3 linked regions of the Notamacropus eugenii genome follow. The protein of the gene in region 1 binds, or shares a complex with, the protein of each later gene. Links are inferred from orthologs where the notes say so. Each region holds a gene or a part of one and is shown in the gene's direction. Other genes may lie near its edges.

Region 1 (7,500 bases):
GTAGTAGAAACCATAGGAGTGAATGAGATTATCAAATCAGTATAGAGCAAGAGAAGATCAGGGACAGAACCTCAGCAAAGAGAAAGATCTAGAAAAGACAAGCAGGGACTAGAGAATCAAGAGTGTGGTATTTCAAAGGCAAACGAGACTCCAAGAAGGGATTTGTCATTTGGTTAAAGGCCCAAAAGTCATCTGAGGATGAAAAGTGAAAATCAGCTTTGGTGACCTCAAAGAAGCTTTCAGCTGTGATAGACGCTAGACTGTGGGGGACTGAGTTGCTAGTGAGAAAATAGAGGCATCAGGTACCCTCTCCTTTCCTTGTTTCTACAAGACTGGCTGTGAAGCAGAAGAAAATAAGGTGGTGGTAGCTGACTAGAGCAGAAGTCTATTACATTCAGGGCATCTAAGGCCACGAAGACCATCCAAGTTTGAACCTTATTTTGTGACATTCTCCAACGATGCTGAGCATCCAAGGAACAACAGAGGAAGGATTGGGTAGTGAAGGAAACTCGGGATAAGCCTTGACCTTCAGAAAGCAGGCCAGAAAATAGGAATATGTCTAAAATGTCCCATAGCTTAAGAGATCTAGTATGTACCTAAACTGTCACTGAATGTTACAGAGTTAGGATCTCATAGGTTCCTTATACCTCTGTGCCACTTGAGGTCAGGTCAACAGGCATTAAGTACCTTCTATGTGCCCTGTACTGTGCTACATGCTAAGGATACAAAGAGAAGCAAAAAAGTCCCTACTCTCAAGAAGCTCACATTCTAACGGGAGAGACAACATGCAAACAACCATGGGCAAAGAAGCTATATACAAGTTAAATTGGAAATAACTGCAGAGTGAAAGCACTAGCATTAAGGGAGGTTGGGAAAAACTTCTATGAGAACGGGCTTTTAATTGAAACTTAAGGAAAGCCAGGACCTAGGGATGAGGAGGGAACGAATTTCAGGCATGGGAAACAGCTAGTGACCAGGGTGTCCTATATAAGGAATAGCCAGAAAGTCACTGGAGGACAGTAAAGTATAAGATTAATAAGGTAATAAATGGTTTTGAAGGGCTTTAAAAGCCAAACAGAATTTTATATTTTATCTTGGAGATAATAGCGAAGACACTGGAGTTTTTTGAATTGAGGAGTGGCAGTCAGACCTTCACTTTAGGAAGATGAATTTGGCAGCTAAGTAGAGGATGGGCAGGAGCAAAGAAAGACTTGAGGCTGGGAGACCAAGCAGAAGGCTGTGGCAAGAGTTTAGGCATGAAGTGATGACACTACCCCAGCACAGTGGTAGTGTAAGAGGAGTGAAGGGGCCATGTATGGAGATATTTCGAAGGCAGAATTGGCAGGACCTGGCAAAATACTGGCTGGGGGAAAGGGGAAGATAACAGTATAGAGTCAAGGATGACAATTAGGTTATGGGCTCAGGTGACAGGGAGGAGAATGGTACCCTGGGCAGTACTAGTGGAAGAGAGAGCTTGAGAAGAAATAAGATGAGTGCAGTTTTGGACTGTTTAGTAAGCGATCTATGGGACATCAAGTTCAAGATGCCTAACAAACAGCCAGCTGGAAAAGTTACCAGTAGCTTCTTGTTTATGAAAAACGGGAAGCTTGAAAAAAAGATGTGGCTGAGCTATGTTCTTCATATTTTAAAATTCCCTAAGTTCAGCAGCCAGATTTGGCCAAAACCCATCCAAGTGCCTTTTAGCCAGAGACGTATATGATTTGAGATTAGTGACTTGGCAGGGAAAAGTTAGAGGATGGACAGGTTCTGCAAAAGTCTGGTTTATTCCCTTTAACTTTCATGAATGATTCAACATAAAGGGACTCACTAGAAGAACCAATTAGAACAAAATATTAATAATGGATAAAATAATGAATTAAGTAACCTGTTTCAGTGAGCCAGAAGTGCTACATATAGTCACTAAATTCAACAAATGTTTACTAAGCATCTAAGACAAGATCATACAGCTGAGAATACAATTTTTAAAAAATGAAAAATCCTTTGCCCCCAAAGAGCTTGAATTCTGCTGGGAACTGCCTGTGTACACAAGATGGGTAAACATCAGGTTGTAAAGTAATTTCAAGAGAACAGAATACTAGCAACTGGAGGGATCTGGAAAGGGCTTATTTAGGAGATAATTAGTATGTGGGCTGTGCTTTGAAGGAAGTTAAGGGTTCAGAGACAAGTGAGGAGGAAGATATCGGAGAGGAGTGCACAGAGAATGATGGAATGTCCTGTGTGAGGAACAGTCAGACCAGTTTGGAAGACTGTAGCCACTTATAATTGTAAAATCAGAAAGCAGCTAGGTGAGTCAGAAAGACATGAGTTTAAATCCGGCCTCAGATACTAGCTGTATGACCTTGGGCAAGTTATTTAACCTGTTTGCCTCAGCTTTCTCAACTACAAAATGAAGATACTTCCCAAGGTTGTTGTAATGATAAAATATTTGTAAAGCACTTAATGCCTGGCACATAGTAGGTGCTATAGAAGTGCTATTATTACTATTATTTAAAAGACCTGGAAAGGAAGCAAGATTGTGGAAGGCTTTACATGTGAATATTTTGTATTCTAGGGACTGTAGGAAGCCACTGAAAACTTTGGGGCAGGGCTAAGACATGGGCAGATCTGTTGAGTTTAGGGAGGTAAGAGACTGAAAGGGGCCAATTAGGAGGCTAAAACATAGGTCCTATGGTCCGGGCTGAGAGGTGATAGTGGCCTGAATTAAGTTAGAGACTGTATTTTTAGGAAAAATAAGGATGCAGATGTGGATTAAGAATCAAGACTGGCAACTGACTGGATACAGAATAGGGAAATGGGGTTGAAGGAAAAGGCAAAGGCAAGGATGACTTCAAGGTTGAGAACTTTAGGTAACTGAAAAGATGATTGTGCCAATAGACATGGGGAAATTCAGAGGCAGGATGGGTTTTTGGGGGGAAATAGGAATTCCACTTTTTTAAGTTTGATGTGACTATCTAACAACCAGGTGGAGATGTCCAGCAGCCAACTAAAATTTGGAAATCAAGTTCAGGAGAGGTTAGGAGTCATCTACCCAAAAATGATTACTAAACTCATGGGAGCTGATAAAAAAAAAAAAAAAACACATCAGCACCAAAGAACATAGGAATCAAGAAGATTGGTGTCTCAACTAAAATCCCATCTACAGGAAGCCTTTTCCAAACTATCTTAATTCTAGTGCCCTGTCTTTTAGTTATTATTTACCCTGTATATAGCTTGTTTGTACATATTCATTTGTTGTCTTCCCCATTAGAATGAGCTACTACTTTATATTATGGGGGAATTGAATGTTTTGTGCCTCATTCTGTACCCCTTGGCTTGGCGCACACACACTACCCGGCATAGGAGACACATAATGAATGTTTGTTAACTGACTTATGGTGGTCCTGGAGGGACATTTATTACGGATGTGGCTATTATGTGCTAGGCACAGAGGATACAAAGATAAAAGAAGAAAACAGTTCCAACCCTCATGAAGTTTATATTCTACTGGGATGAAAACTCTGTACTAAGAAAACACAGCAGTGACAGCAAGAAACCAGGGAAGACTGAGGTGAACCTTAAAAGGAAGACGATTTCTGTGAGGCAGAGAGGTGGACTGTATTCCAGGGATGGAGACTGACTTGTACAAACGCAGGGAGGCGGGCGTTGGGAGTAGCCAGTTGGGGGAAGAGCAGATCTGCAGAGTCCCTGAGGGGAGAGGTCAGACTCGCAGGCGGTACCCCTCCCACAAACCGTGGGGTACAGGCTTTTACCGGCCCCGCCCGCTCCCATCTCCCGTGACTACGGAAGCCAGCAAGATCGCGGCGGACCCCACGCCCTAAAGGCCTTGCTTCCTCTAGGACCTAGTGGCCTTTCAGGATGAGGTTACGGCCGTAGGGCCGGACCCCGGGGCTTCGGGATTCCACGGAACAGTCCCGGAAGGAGGCGGCCCGCCCCCAAAGACGAGGGACCGCCCGAGGCCCGGGGGCGCGGATGATTCAGCCCCATTGTGATGCAGAGAACGTGGAGGGGGAAGAATCGGCCCCAGCGTCGACTCTGCCCACACCGGCAGGCGCCCCCCGAGCCCCGCCGGCCCCTAGACGCCGTTCTGAGTGATGGGCCTGGAAGGAGGCCACGGCTCCGCAGCTTTCCTCCAAGCGCTGAGAGGCGGCCTGGCCACGCGCCCGGGGAAGCCGGCCGCGGGCGGGTCCTGAGCGGAGGCCCTGCCCGGCCAGCCGCCGTAGAGGAGGGGCTTCAGCGTGCCGCCCAAACCCCGTTCAGCTCCGCCAAAGTCTCACATTCCCTCCTCCGCTTTTCCCACCGGCTCCAAGCGGCATCGGGAAGTGTGGTGCGGGGAGGGTCATGTGACCCCCCCTACGTCACGTGGCACTTGGAGGAGGCGAAGGGGGCCCGTCTTCGCGTTCCTTGCGTCATCACGTCGCGCGGCGACGGCGGCGGCGACAACGACGGCGGCGGCGACGACGATAACCACGATTCTGGCGGCTCCGGACCCGGGAGGCGGCGGCGGCGGCTGTTCGGCGCCCACCGAGCCGCCTGCGGGCCCCGCACCCCACCCCACCCCCTCGGGCGGGGGGCCAGCCCTGCCTGGCTGGGTCGGGCGGGGTGCTGAGGTGAGTGGGGTTGGAGGAGCCACAGTTGAGCCTCCCCTGCCCTCTCCCCGCCCCGTCCGCGCGCCGCCGCCCTCATGTGGCCGGGGAGGGACCCGGAGGCGCGGAGCCCGCGGGAGGACGGGGCGGGACTGCCGGCCGCTGCGCCCTGGAGCCGCCGCCCCCTTCTCCCGGGACCGGCCTCCTTCTGGGGCTGGGAAGAGGGCCTTTTGTCATCCTGCCGCAAGTGAAAAGTGGACCGATGTTGAACCGCACGTTCCCACGACCCTTCCAGACCCAGCTGGGGAGGGGGGTCTGCTCGTGACGTGGGGGGGTGGCTTCTGTGAGCGCTGATTTTGGGTGTAGCGCAACCGGACGTGTTTTTAAATGGGAAGGCACTTCAGCGATCATTAGTCCGACCCCCTCATTGTACGGCCGATAAACCGAGAACCCCAGAAGTAACGCCTTGCCCTCACGGGACACAGGGAGCTGGCAAAGCTGATTCCACTTGTCTTTCCTTCTGATGGCAAGAGACAGGAATAAGCATTTATGTTCCTCTTACTGTGTGCCAGGGTCTGCGCTAAGCACTCTTTTTTTTTTAAACAAACGTCTCATTTGATCCTCACAGCCACTCGGTGGTTTTTTTCTTTTACAGTTGAGGAAACTGAGGCAAACAGGTTAAGTGACAGTTAGTGCTTGTGTAAGGCTGGATGGAAACTTGGCTTTCTCACCTGGGTCCAGTGGTATTTTACCGTTGTGCTGTCTAGCTGCCTCGTATGTGACATTTCTGTGCCCTCAGAGTGGTTGCACAGGCTCCTCCTCCCCACTTGTAGTGACACCCCGAACAGAAGAGAATCGACAGCACTCAATAACTCAAGGTCCCTTGATTTTGTAATGGTTTCTGCTTTGGTGATTTATGTTCCCATCTGTACAGTGGGAACAGTGATCACCTGCCCTGTACAGATGAGGTGTTGATTAACCTATTTTTTTAAAAAAAAAAAAGATAAGTAGTAATGAAAGAGTTGTCATAAGTATACTTCTGCTAATGAGGTGGCCTAGAATTGTCTTTGATATTGAAAAATGGTGGTTGAGAATAAGCTATCAAAGACTCCCCAATTTTACTTTAATCAATCATATTCTCTTGATCATTTGAAAAGCTTTAGACTGAAGAAAATGGGGCAAATTGTTGGTCTCCCCCATTCTTTCCCCCAAAGAGTATTTGTTTTTAAAAAATGGACTGATTCAAATTTAACCAGTCATCATATTTAATGAATTGTAACTGTGTTGTCAAACCATACGATTTTTTTATTTATGTAATGATGGCCATGAGTAACTGTTATTGAACCTGGAAGGTAATAGACTTTGCCATAAATCAAGTTGGTGGGTTTCCATGTGTTCAGGAGCCTCAGTTAAGCTCTTGGGTTGAATCCAGAGAGAAATTTTAATACAATATGATCTTATTATTTATTGATGCATTGTAACTTTGGTCAATTAATACCCAGTAACAGAGATGCCCTTTCAGAAAAAGAATCATAAAAGGTTAGTTTTGCAAGGGGCTGTAGAAATCATCTAATCAAAATTTTGTATTTCACAGTTGAGAGAACTAAAACTTGAAGAGGTGAAGAGACTCTTCCAAAGTTATACAAGTAGTTAACAGCAGAACCAGAGTCTGAACTAGTTTTTCTAATTTACAGGCGAAACTTCTTTCTACCACATTGCACTGTTTTACTCAAACCATTGCCCCAAGAACCCCTTAGTCAACAATTATTACTTAAATACTTCCTGTGTGCCAAGTACTAGACTAACTGCTGAGGATTTTAAAAAAGGCAAAAATATTTCCTGCCTTCAAGGAACCCACTATCTAATGGCAAACAAAACAAGCAAACAAATGAATATAAAAGGATATACAGGATAACTTGGAGATAATCTCAGAAGGCACTGGCATTAAGGAGAATTCCCAAAGTCTTTTTGAAGATGGGATTTTAGGTAAGACTTGAAGGGAACCAAGAGGTGGAGTCATAGAATCATTTTCTTAGAGCAAAGGTGTCAAAGAGTTGGCCCCAGCATTGCCGAAATCAGATTTACATGTAATTGGGAAATATCTAATAAAATTAACAAAAATACAATAAAATATAGGTAACATCTAAGTTATTATGCAGCAAGTAATAATAATTGAAGTTTCCTTGGCACTCTGAAGTTTGCAAAGCCCCATTACATAATCTCATTTGAGCTTCCTAGTACCTTATTGAAGTAGGTGCTTCAGTTATTCCCAGTTTACAAATGAGGAAAGTGAAGACCAGAGAGGTTAAGTGGCCTGTTTGTGGTTACCCAGCTCATATCAAAGGCAGGATTTGAACCCAGGACTAACTGATTCATAGTCCAGCACTATGAACTGAATTACTTTACCTCTAATATAGCCCATTTTGGTTCCAGCCTATTGCAAAATTTTTTGGTCTTTCATCCAGCATATACTTCCCTCTTGGCTTTACTTCATCTATGTATCTGATAAATGTTTCATCTCTATCTTTTAAAAAATTAATCTGTTGACCGTTGATTAAAAATTTCAAAGAGACTAGTGCTAAGGACCTTTTTTCAAGTTGACAACCAACGCTCCCTACCAACTGGAATCTTACCATTTAATTTACAAGGAATGCCATAAGAGATATTGTATAATATCATACACTAAAATACCAGGTACATTATTACCCTGATCAATTCTGACATGACTTGTTTTTAACTAACTTGTTCTGGTTCTTAATGATACCATTCTTACTACTCAGCCTACCAACTTATTCTTTTTTTAGGGTTTTGCCAGAGATCAACAGCAAGCTCATTAATAATTGAATTGTGTTAAATTTTGGGAATTTACCTTCTAGCCCTTTTTTTACTAGTCAGG
Region 2 (7,150 bases), on another chromosome or scaffold:
ATTGGAAACCTTATTTCCATTTGCCTGCATAGGCTAGGGTATGTTAACTGAAGACAAACCACTGTGAGAGATATATTCAAGGGAAAGGGAGAGAAAAACTGGGTACCAGTTTTATTGGATGCATAGAAGGTTGGGCTGGAGAAACTCTACTAGGAAGCTTGGAATCCATTTTCTTTGAGGGTTAATAGAGAATTCCTTTCATAGCAGGAAGCCTCACTTGAATGAGTCAAGTTATCACGAGTCTGCGATAATTATCCTATAGTCTAAATTTGAAGTTTTTTTGACAGTCCATCTCACTGGTGTTTGAAATTGCTGCATCATCATGGGTCACATAGGACCTTGGGAAAAATTTGGGTTTACCTTCTTTTGTTAATGTGGTCAGTGGGAAATCAGTTTAAAACCATTCTCAAAATTGCTCATCGGTTATTCTGGTTTTGGGCAGATGGCATAGGAGTTGAACCCCAAGAAAGGAGATGGTCTCTCTGGAAGCCTCACTTCCCTCCTGGGGCATTCTCTTCTGTTTTGTGTCTACCTTGAGGGGTTCTTTCATCCCATCCAAAACTGCAAGGAAGCCACACATGTTTGTCCATGTTGTAAGGTCTCCAGAGGTGGTAGGATCCTTAAGTGAGGAAACTGGAACATGAACCAGCTGCTCTGTAAAATGGAGAAATGGCAGCCAACTGCATAAAGAGAAAGGGACTAAATTTGGGGTCCTGTAAAATTCAAATCCTCTACTAACAATTTCCTCCATCATTGAAAACTAGCCTTAAAACCGGACTTTCGTTTATTGTCTGTTGACTCCTTGCATGTCTGTGAGATTTACTTGTTTTGGTTGTTCATTAATGGTTTCTGGGGAGGAAGAAATAGTTTATAAATTTACTTTCCATGCCCTCCCATAATGGAAGGGAAATGTTGCAAAACTGCCAAGGTGTGGTATTCTTTTGTCTATTGGCTCTTTGTTCCACCCTCCTTTCCACAGCCTCCAAGTAGCAGTTAAAAGTCTTGATCTGGTTCAAGTCAGAATGAATCAATTCCCTGATATCTTTGTGGGTAACAGGATTCCTTCTTGGTAAGTAATCCTGGAACCAGAAGCTGAGCCAGAGAGTTTTATTAGGAGAGGGAGGCGGTGGGACCAGTCTGTCTCCAAGAGTAGTAATATTTTCCAGAGGGTGAACCTCCCATTACCAAGTTATGCTTTAACTTTAGAGTTAGAGGGGTCAACTCTGGAACTTTTATTAGGCCAGTAAAGCATTCCAAAGAGCCCTCTGCTCAAGCCCTTCCCTTTAGCTACCACCCACATCTCACCATCCCTCCCTGGTTGAGTCTTCACAAAGGATTAGATAGTTTCTCCTTCTGTAAGAAATTCTTTGGTCCTCCTGTTTCAGCCCTCTCAAAAATAAACAACTGAAGCAGAACAAAGAGTCCTCCATGCTCCAAGAATCATTGAACAGCTGTGTGGGGGCCTGGGCTCTGACCTTCTGCCTGAAAGATGTCTCAGGTCCCTCCCTACTCACCCCCCCCCCCAGTCTAAGTCTTTGAGTCAAGACAGTCCTCCAACAGGGAACCCACAGGACTATAAACTGGAAGAGATCAGAGAGAAATATCTGCTCCAACACCCTACATCTTATAGAGGTGGAAATTGTCAGCTGGGTGTAGCCCACCACTTAGTTCTCTATTTTGTGAGAATATCCCAGAGATTAATAGGCTTATTTTCTACATGTTAAGAAAGGAAGAAACTTGCCCCAGGATCATATAGCAAGTAAATTTGAAGAGTGAGGCCTAGAACCTGAGGTTACTGGCTTCCACCTAGTTAAAAAGAAGTAGTCAAGAAGCTGTACCTCATCTCCACGGGTGCCTACCCTGAACCCCCGGTATTGTCCAGTTGAAGAAATAGACCCAGAAAGGGGAGTTATTTAGGAACAAAAGCAGGGCCACAATTCAGGATTCGGGACTCTTTGATAAGTTAAAATTGGAAGGGACCTTACAGATCATTCCATTCCATTCAACAGATACTCATTATGCACCCTGCAAAGCTCTTCGAGGGCTAAGACAGGGTCCCTGTCCCCCTGAAGATCAGACTAGGAGTGAGATATGGCAAATAACTCTATTATACAATAAGTGGATTAGAGAGATGTGGACAAAGGGCTGTGTTCAAAAAGGGGACTGAGACACTATGAAGGAGCGGCAGCATCTGTGTTGGGCTTTAAAGGATGGGTAGGAATTCAACAGAAGAAATGGAAGGAATTTGGGGAATGTCCATTGTTTCCTATAAATAACATGAGTACCAGAGCTAGTGGAGCTGGGGAGAGGTGTGAGCTGCCTTAGCTCAGGATGGAGTTCAGGAGGCCAAGAGAGCAGTCCAGTCTGGCTGGAGCATGCAAGGCCCCGAGGGGGATCATGTGAGATAATGCTGGAAGATCATCTCCTGTAACCCGCTCAAGTTTCCAGAAGAGGAAACTGAGCTCCCAACGGGACAATTGACATAGAAGTCCTAGACAAGCCCTCTCACTGCTCAAGAGCCAGAGCCCTTGGGAAGGAAAAGAACAGGAGAAGAATGGAAAGTGACTGGCCTCTCAGCAGCCTTGTGAGCTTCCCCTCTTTTACATCTGTAAAGTGAGGGGACCAAACTTGAGTCCTTCCAACTAACAGTTCACAAATATAAGTCCAGGCAAAGAGAATCTAGCTAGGCAAATTGACCTGAGTCAGAGACTCAGCCCTGGACTTGGAATCAGAGGACCAGGAACAGATTCCTGGCTCTGTGGTTTACTGCTGCATGATCCTGAGCAAGTCACTTAATATCTGCCTCAGTTTCCCCACTTGTAAAATAAGGATTATAATAACACCTACCTCTCAGGATTAATGTGAGGATCAAATGAGATATTTGTAAAGAACCTAGATCAGTTCCTGGCACATTTTTGTTATTGTTGTTACTGCACTTTTCTTGAATAGATGCTGGAATGGTTTGCCATTTCCTTCTTCAATGTGCCCCCATTTTATAGATGACAACTGAGGCAAATAGGGTTTAAGAGACTTACACAGAGTTATATAACTAGCAAGTGTCTGAGGCTGGATTTGAACTCGGATCTTCCTGACTCCAGCCTGGTGCTCTATCCACTGAACCATCTAGCTGACCTTCCTGGCACATAGTAAATGTTTAATAAATGATTGTCCCCTTCCCATTCCACTGCCTAAATAGGCAATGACTTATGCTACTTGAACCCCATGGGCTTCAGTTTCCTTATGTGGAGTCACCAACTTCAATCCTTTGGGTAAGATAGTAGACCACAGAAATTTAGCGCCCACCCTACTGCTACCACTCCTCAAGACTCTTGGGCATTACCATGCACCATTGCTGCACCCTAAGGAACTGTCTCCTTTCCAACTACCCTGGGGTGGAAATCTTCTGAAAATGTTTTTTTCCATTCATTCTTATGAGTACACACAAGGTAAATACAAGTTAACGAGACTGGGGGCATAAGAGGAGGGTTTCATGGAGAAGGTGGTGTTTGAGCTGAGAAACAAGGGATTCTAAGGAGCAGAGGTGAAGAGGAAGTAAGTCTATCCCATGCATGAGGGATGGCCTGGGCAATAGTATGGAGGTGGGAAAGTAGTGTCTTGTGTGAGGAAGAGCAAGGTGGCTGGGGCCCTGAGAGCAGGGAAGTGAGTAAATAACTCATAATAAGGCTGGACAGGCAGGTCAGGGCCAGTTTCTCCAGGGCTTTAAATGCCAAACAAAGACGTGGATATCTGACCCCAAAGTCCATAGGAAACCACTGGCATTTACTGCACAAGGGAGTGAAACACGTTAGCAGCCCAGGATTAGACTGCTGGGACTTGAGGCAGGAAGGTGAACTAGGGGCTACTAGCAGGCCAGGTGAGAGAGGTGGGGCAGCGGACTCATCTTCATGAGTTCAAATCCCGTCTCAGACACTTGTTAGCTGCAGGACCCTGAGCAAGTGGCTAACTCTGCCTCAGTTTCCTTATCTGTAAAATGAGCTAGAGATGGAAATGGCAAAGTTGGATACAACTGAACCACAAAAGGTGAAAGATGAGGAGGGTCTGAACGATGAGTGGCCGCGGGAGGAAAAAGGAGACAATGCGAACTGGGAAGTGTGAAGTCAGGGAATTACCGGGTTTTTATTTGGTATATGAATGAATGAATGAACAAGTGAGTGAATGAACGAGTGAGTGAATGAATGAGTGAGTGAAAGAATGAGTGAATGAATGAGTGAGTGAATGAATGAATGAGTGAATGAGTGAGTGAACGAGTGAGTGAATGAACAAGTGAGTGAACGAATGAGTGAATGAATGAGTGAGTGAACGAGTGAGTGAATGAACGAGTGAGTGAACGAGTGAGTGAATGAACGAATGAGTGAACGAGTGAGTGAATGAACGAGTGAGTGAACGAGTGAGTGAGTGAACGAGTGAGTGAATGAACGAGTGAGTGAACGAGTGAGTGAATGACTGAGTGAATGAACGAGTGAGTGAGTGAATGAACGAGTGAGCATCCGTGCCATCAGCCTCAGAACGTCATCCCCAGCTTTGCTCGCCAGGCTTCCCTGGCGCCTACACCCCCGTCCTGCAGGGGGCGCTGCCACCCAGACAACCCGAGCCCCGCCCCTCCGAGAACGGCTCGCCAGGATGTGACGTTAAAGGAGCACTGCAAGTCAGGCCCCGCTACTCCATCGGCCTGGTCCAATATGGCCGCCGCGGCCTCTGTTCGCTGGTGAAGCAAGGCATCTCCGGAGAGCCCGAGGTGCGTCTTTGAAGTGGAGGAGAAAAGAGCCCGAGGGCCTGCAGGCCGGGCTGCCGCCACAGCAGCCGAACGTAGGCCAAAGGGGCACTTCCACCTGGAGCCAGCCGGGGCTGGTGGTAAGCGAGCCTCGCCTCATTACGTCACATCCGCCCAAGGCTCCCACGGATCCCCTCCAATCAGCAGCCGGGCTCGCCTCCGCCTCGCTCTCGTGAGAACGTGCAGGCCGCGCCTCCTCGCGCCGCAACGTCACAGACGCCATGTCTAGCTACCCGTACGGGCAGGTGAGTGACTAAGGGAGCGCTGAACCGATCCGGGCCGGCCCGGGAGGGGTCGGGCCTGGGGGTTGGGCTCCTCCCCGGCTGGGAGGTCTGTCCGGGGCCTCCGCCAGCCAGGGGCAGAGGCCGGGAAGCGGCGGCGGCGGCGGCCGTGCCCCCCTGGCACCTCGGCTGAGGGCGGCTCCCGCCCGAGCCTCCCACGCCCCCCGGGCCACCGTCCTGGGGTGTCCGAGGCCCCGGGTCCCGCCGATGGCCTGTGTTCTAAGGGCCTTTCCAGCTCTGACGCTCTGCGTTCTAGGTGCCTTCCGCCTCTGACAGGTCCTGTCCTAAGGCAGGGATGGGGAACCTTCAGCCTGAAGACCGCGTGTGGCCTGCTAGGTCCTCGGGTGCGGCCGTTTTACAGGACAGATCCACTTATCGAGGGGATCCGTTCTGTGGAGTGCGGGTGCGGTCAGAGGGCCGCCCTTGAGGACCTGGGGACCGTGGGTTAGTAGCAGAACCAAGAGGAGAACCTCTGATGACCGCCCGGGCCAGGGCCGGGCTCTCTCAGCTGCCGGTCGTCATTCCTGTTGGTGTGGAATTGTGTTTCCTCACAGTAGTCCTGTGGGGTGGGTGGTGAGGAGGAGGAGGGTGGAATAGCAAAGGTAGTGGTAATGCCTGACCCTCCTAAAGCTCTCTCGGTCTTCACAATAGCTTTGTCTTTTATTATTGTTCAATATCCTGCGTGTTTTATTTTATGCATTTAAAAACAGCAGGAGGCTCGCTTTGTCTGCCACGACATAGAAAAGATTAAGAATCAATAAGAGAACTGAGACCCCCCAAAGGGAAGCACCCTCAGTCACAGAGCTGTCAAGTAGTGAAGCTGAGCTTCAGATCCAGCATTCCCTGTCCTCTTCTGACTCCCCGTTTTATCTGGTAAGAGTGGCTCCTGCCCATGAGGAGCTTCAGTCTAGGGAAGGCAGGATGTGAACTCAAGAAACAGCAGAGAACAGGACCGTGTGAACATAGTACTTCCCTGGCCACAGACGCAATGCACTGTCATGCATCCTCTCAGCCAGCCCTTCAAACTTCCCTGTTTCTCTGGAGGCCCCGCTGCCCTGCCCAGGTCCATAACTTCAGTCTCCCTTTCTCTTTCTCCATCCTAGTCCTCAGAGCTGACCGTGGTCAAGTCATGTTAATTAGGCCTCCACCCCTCCCACATCCATTGCCTTTCCCGTCACATCTGCTGCCCTAGTTCAGGTCCTTGTGGCCTCTCATCTGGACCGTTCTAATATCTTTCAGGCCAAAATTGATCTCCAAGCTCCTGGTCTCTTGTCCAATCCATTCTTCATACCACTACTGACATCAAGATAATTTTCCTTTTCACCATATCATTCCTTACTCATATACCTTCAGTAGGTCCCCATTACCTCCAGAATTAAATACGGCTCCATTGCTTTCCATCATTATCTCCTGCTGTTCCCTACCACAGATGGGTCCTAGCAAGGTTGGATCTGTTCCAGAGCTCATTCTCCTGTCTCTGTGCATTTAAGCATGATGTGCCGTTGCTGGAATGCCCTCCTCCCTTTGGCCATTAAGGCTCTACTCTGGTGTCGCCTCTTCCATGCATCTTTACCTGCTTCCCCCAGTTAGTCACATTTTCTCTTGCCTTAATTTTCCTTCTGATGGTTGGTTTTTATATAGCGCTTTAAAGTTTGCAAAGCACTTTACACATATGCTTTCCCTTATTCCTCACAACAACCCTGTGAGGTCGATGCTGTTGTGATCCCCATTTTATAGTTAGGGAAACTGAGACAAGCAGAGGTGAAATGACTGGACTGAGGTCACACAGCTGGTATGTGTTCAAGGCCTCCAGACCCATCCGCTCTTCAGCTGTCTTATATAGAGTGTATGTGTGTGGTTGGGGTGCTTCCTCCCCTTCTTTACACACACCCCACACACACACTGCAGGGATGGTATCCTAAATATGTGTTGAATTGCCCAGAGTGGGAAGTTGAAAGAGTTTTCTTATTCTTTTCATTCAACAAAGGGTAAGTGCCTAACATTAAGTACTTGCTGTGTGCTGTAGCCCGAATCATGAGCAAAACCAAGGATAAGTCCTATTTTCAAAGGGGCTTCC
Region 3 (7,213 bases), on another chromosome or scaffold:
TTCTGGCTTTTCACCGATTGGCCAACAGTAGGTTCCAAGCCAAACCCCACTTAGTCATTGTTTGAACTCTGATTGACTCAGAGTGAATGTAAAAATAGGAATTGTTTCTATTTTGGCCAGAAACTCTGAGGGTCTTCTCCTTCTACTTCGATTTTTTTCTTTTTGGCCTAGGTTCTTTGTCTCATTTTTGTTTACCTAGCCCTCATCACTAGATGGATGTTGCCTCAGTCAAACTGAGACTTGCAAAAGACCAAGGTTTCCTACCACATCCTGGGCCATCTCCGTCACCCTAATGACTTAAATCAGTTCACTTGCATGTCATGGCATCACCTCCCTGATGTCATGGTCCTCTTCAAGAACGAGGAACAAGCACCAACTACCTCACCTAGACCTGTGTGCTTTACCCGGGCGTTTCTAGCCTCTGAGAGCCTCAAGCACCACTTACAAGGCAGTGGAGGCTCAGCGGCTGCAGTCAGGAAGACCCAGGTTTAAATCCAGCCTCCAGCAGCCTACTGGCTGTGAGACTTTGGACAAGTCACATAACCTCTGTTTGCTGTAAAATGAGAATAAGAGCACTTCTCAGAATTGTGACCGTACCTATAGAGCACTTAGGACAGTACCTGGCATCCAGCACACATTAATAATATTTAACCTTTTCCTTCCTGCCTGCCCTCCCTGCTGGGAGTTCTCCTTGCTCACCTTGAGGATCCAAGGGCCCCCTGGACCCTTCTGGTCCTCATCTTCTCAGAGAGCCCCCCGTTCCCTCTCCGTTCTGAAGTTCCCAGCTCCCTATCCCCTAATGCCCCTGCCCCCGTCCAGTCCTGTCCCCTCAGAGGTCCCAAACCCCTTTCCTGCACTATACCGTCCCCTGAGGAGTCTTGTCCCTCCCCTCGGGGTCCAGGCGCCCCCTCCCGTCCCTCCCCTCGGGGTCCAGGCGCCCCCTCCCGTCCCGCCCCTCGGGGCCCCGGCTCCCTTTCCGGTCCGTCCCGCCCCCTCGGGGTCCAGGCGCCCCCTCCCGTCCCTCCCCTCGGGGTCCAGGCGCCCCCTCCCGTCCCGCCCCTCGGGGCCCCGGCTCCCTTTCCGGTCCGTCCCGCCCCCTCGGGGTCCAGGCGCCCCCTCCCGTCCCTCCCCTCGGGGTCCAGGCGCCCCCTCCCGTCCCGCCCCTCGGGGCCCCGGCTCCCTTTCCGGTCCGTCCCGTCCCCTCGGGGCCCCGGCTCCCTTTCCGGTCCGTCCCGCCCCCTCGGGGTCCAGGCGCCCCCTCCCGTCCCTCCCCTCAGGGTCCAGGCGCCCCCTCCCGTCCCGCCCCCTCGGGGTCCAGGCGCCCCCTCCCGTCCCTCCCCTCGGGGTCCAGGCGCCCCCTCCCGTCCCGCCCCCTCGGGGTCCAGGCGCCCCCTCCCGTCCCGCCCCTCGGGGCCCCGGCTCCCTTTCCGGTCCGTCCCGCCCCCTCGGGGTCCAGGCGCCCCCTCCCGTCCCGCCCCCTCGGGGTCCAGGCGCCCCCTCCCGTCCCGCCCCTCGGGGCCCCGGCTCCCTTTCCGGTCCGTCCCGCCCCCTCGGGGTCCAGGCGCCCCCTCCCGTCCCGCCCCCTCGGGGTCCAGGCGCCCCCTCCCGTCCCGCCCCTCGGGGCCCCGGCTCCCTTTCCGGTCCGTCCCGCCCCCTCGGGGTCCAGGCGCCCCCTCCCGTCCCGCCCCCTCGGGGTCCAGGCGCCCCCTCCCGTCCCGCCCCCTCGGGGTCCAGGCGCCCCCTCCCGTCCCGCCCCCTCGGGGTCCAGGCGCCCCCTCCCGTCCCGCCCCTCGGGGCCCCGGCTCCCTTTCCGGTCCGTCCCGCCCCCTCGGGGTCCAGGCGCCCCCTCCCGTCCCGCCCCCTCGGGGTCCAGGCGCCCCCTCCCGTCCCGCCCCCTCGGGGTCCAGGCGCCCCCTCCCGTCCCCGCCCCTCGGGGCCCCGGCTCCCTTTCCGGTCCGTCCCGCCCCCTCGGGGTCCAGGCGCCCCCTCCCGTCCCGCCCCCTCGGGGTCCAGGCGCCCCCTCCCGTCCCGCCCCCTCGGGGTCCAGGCGCCCCCTCCCGTCCCGCCCCTCGGGGCCCCGGCTCCCTTTCCGGTCCGTTCCGCCCCCTCGGGGTCCAGGCGCCCCCTCCCGTCCCGCCCCTCGGGGCCCCGGCTCCCTTTCCGGTCCGTCCCGTCCCCACGGGACTCACAGGGTCCGGGCTGCGCGTCATCCTGGGGGCAGCGAGGGCGTGCACGGGCATGGCGGTGTCCACAGGCATGGTGGTGTCCACGGGCACGGCGGAGGAGTCCACGGGCACGGCGGTGTCCACGGCGGGCTGGGGCTAGGGCTCATGTTGTCGGGGACCCCAAAGGCTCGGCGTCTGCGCTCGATGTCCGGCCAGAGCTCCGCGGTCTCTCTGTGTACTCCTGCTTCTCCGGTCAGGTTGGCTCTGAAATAAACACGGCTCCTCGGGTCCTTATATACGACGCGCTGACGTCACGGAGCGGAGTTTACCAACGTCAGGCAAGGGGGGGCGCGGGGGAAAACGAAGAACGCAAGGCTGCCACTCCCTCCCGAGCGGAGTTTCCTTAAGTGGAATCGCTCGGATCCCCTAGGGCTGACGTCATAGGAGGGGCGGGGCGATCAGGGAGCTCGATGACGTCATGGTCCCGTGCTCCGGGGATCCCGCGCCCAGGAGGTGATTCAGGGCTCTGGAACCTCCGAGAGCAGTCCGGAGCAGCCCCGCCCCGCCCGGCCATCCTCTGGATCGCGGCTCGGTCGCCTAGCCCCTTGTCACCCTCGTAGGGGATGAGCCTGCCGTCCCTGCCGCACCTGGGGCGGGGGGGCCTGAGCAGGCGGGTTCCCCTCCTAATCCCTCGGATCCCATTAATGTCACAGCACAGCGCCCAGCCTTCTGGCTGAACCTGTATAACCTCCTCCCCGAGTCGGTCAGTCAGTCAGTCAACAATCCTGGAGGACAGCCTGTCCAGGGCAACCTTCTGGTCAAGCCTTCTCCTGCACCCCGCCCCCAGCCCCCCTGCCCGTGCCAGCCGGGCTGCATGCTTCCTTTCAGCCAGCCTGGGGTCTGACTCCCCAGTCCTTTTACTCTCGGGGACCCAGGAGACTTGTGCGGAGCCCCTTGAGTCCCACCCAGACAGCTGTGGGGGCCGAGGAGCCTCGGGGTCAAGGGAGGGGAGGGGCCGGCCAGAGGGAGGGAAGAGCGTGGGTGGAGGAGTTGAGGAACAAGGGAGAGACACGGACCTACTGTAGAGAAAGGGAGAGGTCCAGAGAGCGGAGAGAGACCGAGGGAGACAGGAAGGTATGGGCAGGCTGATCCCGAAATCCAGAGTTAGAGAGAGAGAGAGAGACTGAACCCGGGACTGAGAGAGAGGGAGGCATAGAAAGACAGAGGAGGAATAGTAGGGGAAGGGGGGGGAGAGAAAGAGAGAGAGAGAGAGGGAGAGAGAGACAGACAGACAGAGAGAGAGAGAGACAGACAGACAAAGAAAGAGAGACAGAAACAGAGAGAAACAGACAGACAAAGAGAGAGAGAGAGAAACAGAGAGACAGGGAGAGAGAGACAGACAAAGAGAGAGACAGACAGACAGACAAAGAAAGAGAGACAGAAACAGAGAGAAACAGACAGACAAAGAGAGAGAGACAGAAACAGAGAGAGACAGAGAGACAGGGAGAGAGAGACAGACAGACAAAGAGAGAGAGAGAGACAGAAACAGAGAGAAACAGACAGACAAAGAGAGAGAGAGAGAAACAGAGGGACAGGGAGAGAGAGACAGACAGACAAAGAGAGAGACAGACAGACAAAGAAAGAGAGACAGAAACAGAGAGAGACAGAGAGAAACAGACAGACAAAGAGAGAGAGACAGAAACAGAGAGAGACAGAGAGACAGGGAGAGAGAGACAGACAGACAAAGAGAGAGAGAGACAGAAACAGAGAGAGACAGACAGGGAGAGAGAGACAGAGAAAGAGAGGGAGACAGAGAGAGACAGAGAGAGAGAGAGAGAGAGGAGGAGATAAGTGGATGGAGAATAGAGAAACAAGGAGAAGAAAAGCCAGCAAGTGACAGAGAAAGAAAAACAGGAAGAGACAGAGAGAGAAGAGACAGATGCACAGAGAGGCACACAGGGAGTGACAGAAACAGAGAGAGCGAAAGAAATTCAGAGAGACAGTGAGAGACAAATAAAAGGAAAGAGACAGGAGGCAGAGAGAGGCTGAGGAAGGGTGAGCCACTTGGGAGTGAGAGCACTTGGGAACTGAAGAAGGAACACCCAGCTGTGCTCTTGGATCTGTGCTGATCCCACTTCCTTCATCTGGAGGGCCTGGTAGGTTTCTAGACCTGGGGGAGGGGGGACACAGGTATGCTTGGGTTCCTTCCTACAATTGGGGAGGGGGGGGGTTGGTATGTTTGATCAGGACTGGGGGTTGAAGAAGGATGGAGTTACAAGGGCAGCCAGACTAAGGGGTGGGAAGGCGATGTGGATCTCTAAGCATGAAGGGAGGGGCAGATTCTTGGCCTGAAGGGGGGGTGGTCTGGACATAAAGAGGCCTCTTTTCTCTGGCTTCCCCCCTAGCAGCTGCTGTAGCCGCCCACCCCCTGGCACTGCCTCTTGGTATGTGGCAGGGGGCCAAGGCCTCCCCCAGCCCCCAACTCTCCCCCTACTCTGTATATCTCACACAAGGAGGCTTTTCTCCTTATCCTCCCCACTGCTGGGGTCACTGACCCTGCCTGGGCTCCTCCTCCTCCTGAACCTCTCTCAATCTTCTTCTTCTTCTTCAAGTGGCTCCCCAACATGGAGGAAAGCAGGCCCCGGAGCAGCCTCAGCATGGCCAGCAGTGTCTCCACTGTCTCCTCCATCAGCCTCAGCACCAAGGTGATGCAGGTGGCTGAGGTGGGGTGGGGAGAAGGTGGGCTGGTGGACCTCCCTCTCCCTGTGTCAAGGTTTGGGCTCCCAAGGTCTGGAGAGGGACCAGCAGCTGGGCCATGAAAACACCCAATACCTCAGAGTGTGAGACTGTCCCCTGGCCCAATTCCTTCCCAAGCCAGGTGCTGGGGGTGCCCAGCTCTTGAAAAGAGCCCCCAATTCCTCCTTTTCATATTCTTTCCTTACTCTTTGAGTCGCTCTGCCCGTGCTTCCTCTGAAATCCTAATAGTTTAGGGCATCTGCTCCTGGGGAGCAGGACTAAAAGAGGAGGTGAGCTTCCTGAGGACAAGTACTACCTTAGGCCTGTCTCTATTCCCAGTACGGTGCCTGCCACTTTTAATAAAGCCTCCTTGAATTGGACTGAATGAATGGAATGAGATCTGGGGTTTCTGCCCACCTACAACTCCTCTTGGCCAGGACCCTAAGCCTGCCCTGCCAGTAGAGCAGTCACTCGGTCCTGGACCACGCCCCCCCCCCCCCTCCCGCCGCCGCAATGAGGGGAAGGGAAGAGAATGAGAAGTGCCTCCCTCCCCTACAGTGGAGCCCTTCCAGGTCTGAGGTTTCCCTGTGCCCCCAGGCAGTCCCTTTCCTGCCTCTCTCTCCTCTAGCCCCCTCGGGCAGTCAGCCGGATCCATGCCTTTGGGAAAAGGGGAAGCTCCCTCCGCAGAGACCCCAACCTGCCTGTGGACATTCGAGGCTGGCTGCATAAGCAGGTACTGTGGGGCTAGGGCCCCTGCCTGTCCCTCGTCTGTCACCTCCCTAGGCTCTGCACTGTGTTGCATGCCCTGTTACTGGCTGCAGAGGGACCCCAGCTTTCACTTGCTCCGTGACTGTCACTCTTTGCTGCCGAGGTTGCCCCCAATCTTTGCTGTCTTGCTGGCTCTGTCTCTGTGACCCTCCACGACTCTATTTCCCTTCACCTCATCTCCATTTCCTGGTACATGCTCAGGTCTTGCCAATATTTGTCAAAACAGCTCTGGTCTCAGGTTCTAAAAATATGACTGTTCGCCCTGGTCCTCCGTCCCTGTCTCTGTGTCTCTGTGTCTTCTTGTCTCACTGTCTCTCATCTCCGTCCCCTCCATGTCTTTCTGTCTCCCCATCCCCCTGTCCCTCTGTCTCCCTATCCCCAGGTTCCTCTCTGCCTGTCTCACTGTACTCCCACCTCATCCTCCTGAGGTTTCACCTGTCTCAGGGCACTCAGGTGTCTCTGGTCTCTCTCCCAGGACAGCTCTGGCCTCCGGCTCTGGAAGCGGCGCTGGTTTGTCCTGTCTGGCCACTGCCTCTTCTATTACAAGGGTCAGTGTCCAAAGGATGGGTTGGAATGGGGATAGAGAAACCTTCCCCAGTGACCGCTGATCCTTGACTCCCTTGCAGACAGCCGGGAGGAGAGTGTCCTGGGCAGTGTCCCTCTCCCCAGCTACAGTGTCCGTCCAGATGGCCCTGGGGCCCCCCGGGGGCGCCGCTACACTTTCACTGTGAGTTAGAGATGATCCTGGTGTCCTCTCCCCCCTAGAACCCCTCGGGGACCCTGGTATCCACTGCTCCAGCTGCTAGTGCCTCCCTGCCCCTCCCCCTTACCTTCTATTCTCTGTAATCTGCTGGCTCTGTGCATGTCTCCCCCCTACACACACATAAGCTGCTTAAGAGCAGGGACTGTCAGCACACAGCCCCAGGACCCAGTACATCGGTCTGGCAAAGAGAACCAGATCAATGCTTATTTACTGACCCCCCCCCCCCCCTCAAGAACTGGCAGCCAGCCCTTCTCCTTCAGGCCCAAAAATTCCTTCCCTGAGCTTTATGTCCCCCTCCTTCTCACCTCCCTTCCCAGGCTGAGCACCCTGGGATGAGAACGTACGTATTGGCCGCTGATACGGTGGAGGACCTTCGCGGGTGGCTGCGGGCTCTGGGTCGTGCCACCCGAGCTGAAGGGGATGACTAGTAAGTGTGGGCAGGATTATCGCCACTTGAATCCCAGCCCCTCTATGGCTGTCCCTGACTGCACCCCAGCTTCCTCATCTGGAAAATGGGGAGCAGTCTAAGGCTGGTTGTTGCTGTTGAGCCCTGTCTGACTCTTCCTGACCCCATCTGGGGTTTTCTTGCCATTTCCTTCTCCAGCTCATTTTACAGTTGAAGAAACTGAGGCAAACTGGGTGAAGTGACTTGCCCAGGGTCACACAGCTACTGTATGTAAGTGTATGAAGTCGCATTTGAGCTCAGGGCTTCCTGATCCCATGCCCAGTGCTCTGTGCACTATGGCACAATCTAGCTGCCCCCTGCCCAAGAATCCAAGAA

Evidence for each region.
Region 2: the proteins of KLHL12 (region 1) and PEF1 are in contact, whole or in part, in a crystal structure (PDB 8RBH), measured with the Homo sapiens proteins. The link is inferred for Notamacropus eugenii from reciprocal best matches to the Homo sapiens genes KLHL12 and PEF1. Residues at the interface, in NP_067646.1 of Homo sapiens: Phe289, Gln293, Arg320, Tyr321, Leu371, Glu417, Tyr434, Ile439, Phe481, His486, Cys511, Tyr512, Tyr528, Leu533, Cys558; in NP_036524.1 of Homo sapiens: Gly15, Gln16, Ala17, Pro18, Gly19, Ala20, Pro21, Pro22.
Region 3: the proteins of KLHL12 (region 1) and PLEKHA4 are in contact, whole or in part, in a crystal structure (PDB 8OIO), measured with the Homo sapiens proteins. The link is inferred for Notamacropus eugenii from reciprocal best matches to the Homo sapiens genes KLHL12 and PLEKHA4. Residues at the interface, in NP_067646.1 of Homo sapiens: Phe289, Arg320, Glu417, Tyr434, Ile439, Phe481, His486, Cys511, Tyr512, Tyr528, Leu533, Cys558; in NP_065955.2 of Homo sapiens: Pro177, Gly178, Gly179, Pro180.

What each region holds. Positions count from the first base shown.
Region 1 is NC_092873.1:437,284,911-437,292,410, forward strand, and holds the start of KLHL12 (kelch-like protein 12), read left to right. Parts: upstream 1-4,497; 5' UTR 4,498-4,628; intron 4,629-5,030; exon of another isoform or gene 5,031-5,482; intron 5,483-6,500; exon of another isoform or gene 6,501-6,590; intron 6,591-7,500. UniProt on the Homo sapiens protein: Substrate-specific adapter of a BCR (BTB-CUL3-RBX1) E3 ubiquitin ligase complex that acts as a negative regulator of Wnt signaling pathway and ER-Golgi transport.
Region 2 is NC_092876.1:78,258,265-78,265,414, forward strand, and holds the start of PEF1 (peflin), read left to right. Parts: upstream 1-4,137; 5' UTR 4,138-5,013; coding exon 5,014-5,037; intron 5,038-7,150. UniProt on the Homo sapiens protein: Calcium-binding protein that acts as an adapter that bridges unrelated proteins or stabilizes weak protein-protein complexes in response to calcium.
Region 3 is NC_092876.1:12,631,685-12,638,897, forward strand, and holds the start of PLEKHA4 (pleckstrin homology domain-containing family A member 4), read left to right. Parts: upstream 1-4,200; 5' UTR 4,201-4,321; intron 4,322-4,777; 5' UTR 4,778-4,789; coding exon 4,790-4,870; intron 4,871-5,529; coding exon 5,530-5,634; intron 5,635-6,144; coding exon 6,145-6,217; intron 6,218-6,295; coding exon 6,296-6,396; intron 6,397-6,749; coding exon 6,750-6,859; intron 6,860-7,213. Other genes in the region: PPP1R15A (protein phosphatase 1 regulatory subunit 15A), read right to left, coding at 2,190-2,258. UniProt on the Homo sapiens protein: Binds specifically to phosphatidylinositol 3-phosphate (PtdIns3P), but not to other phosphoinositides.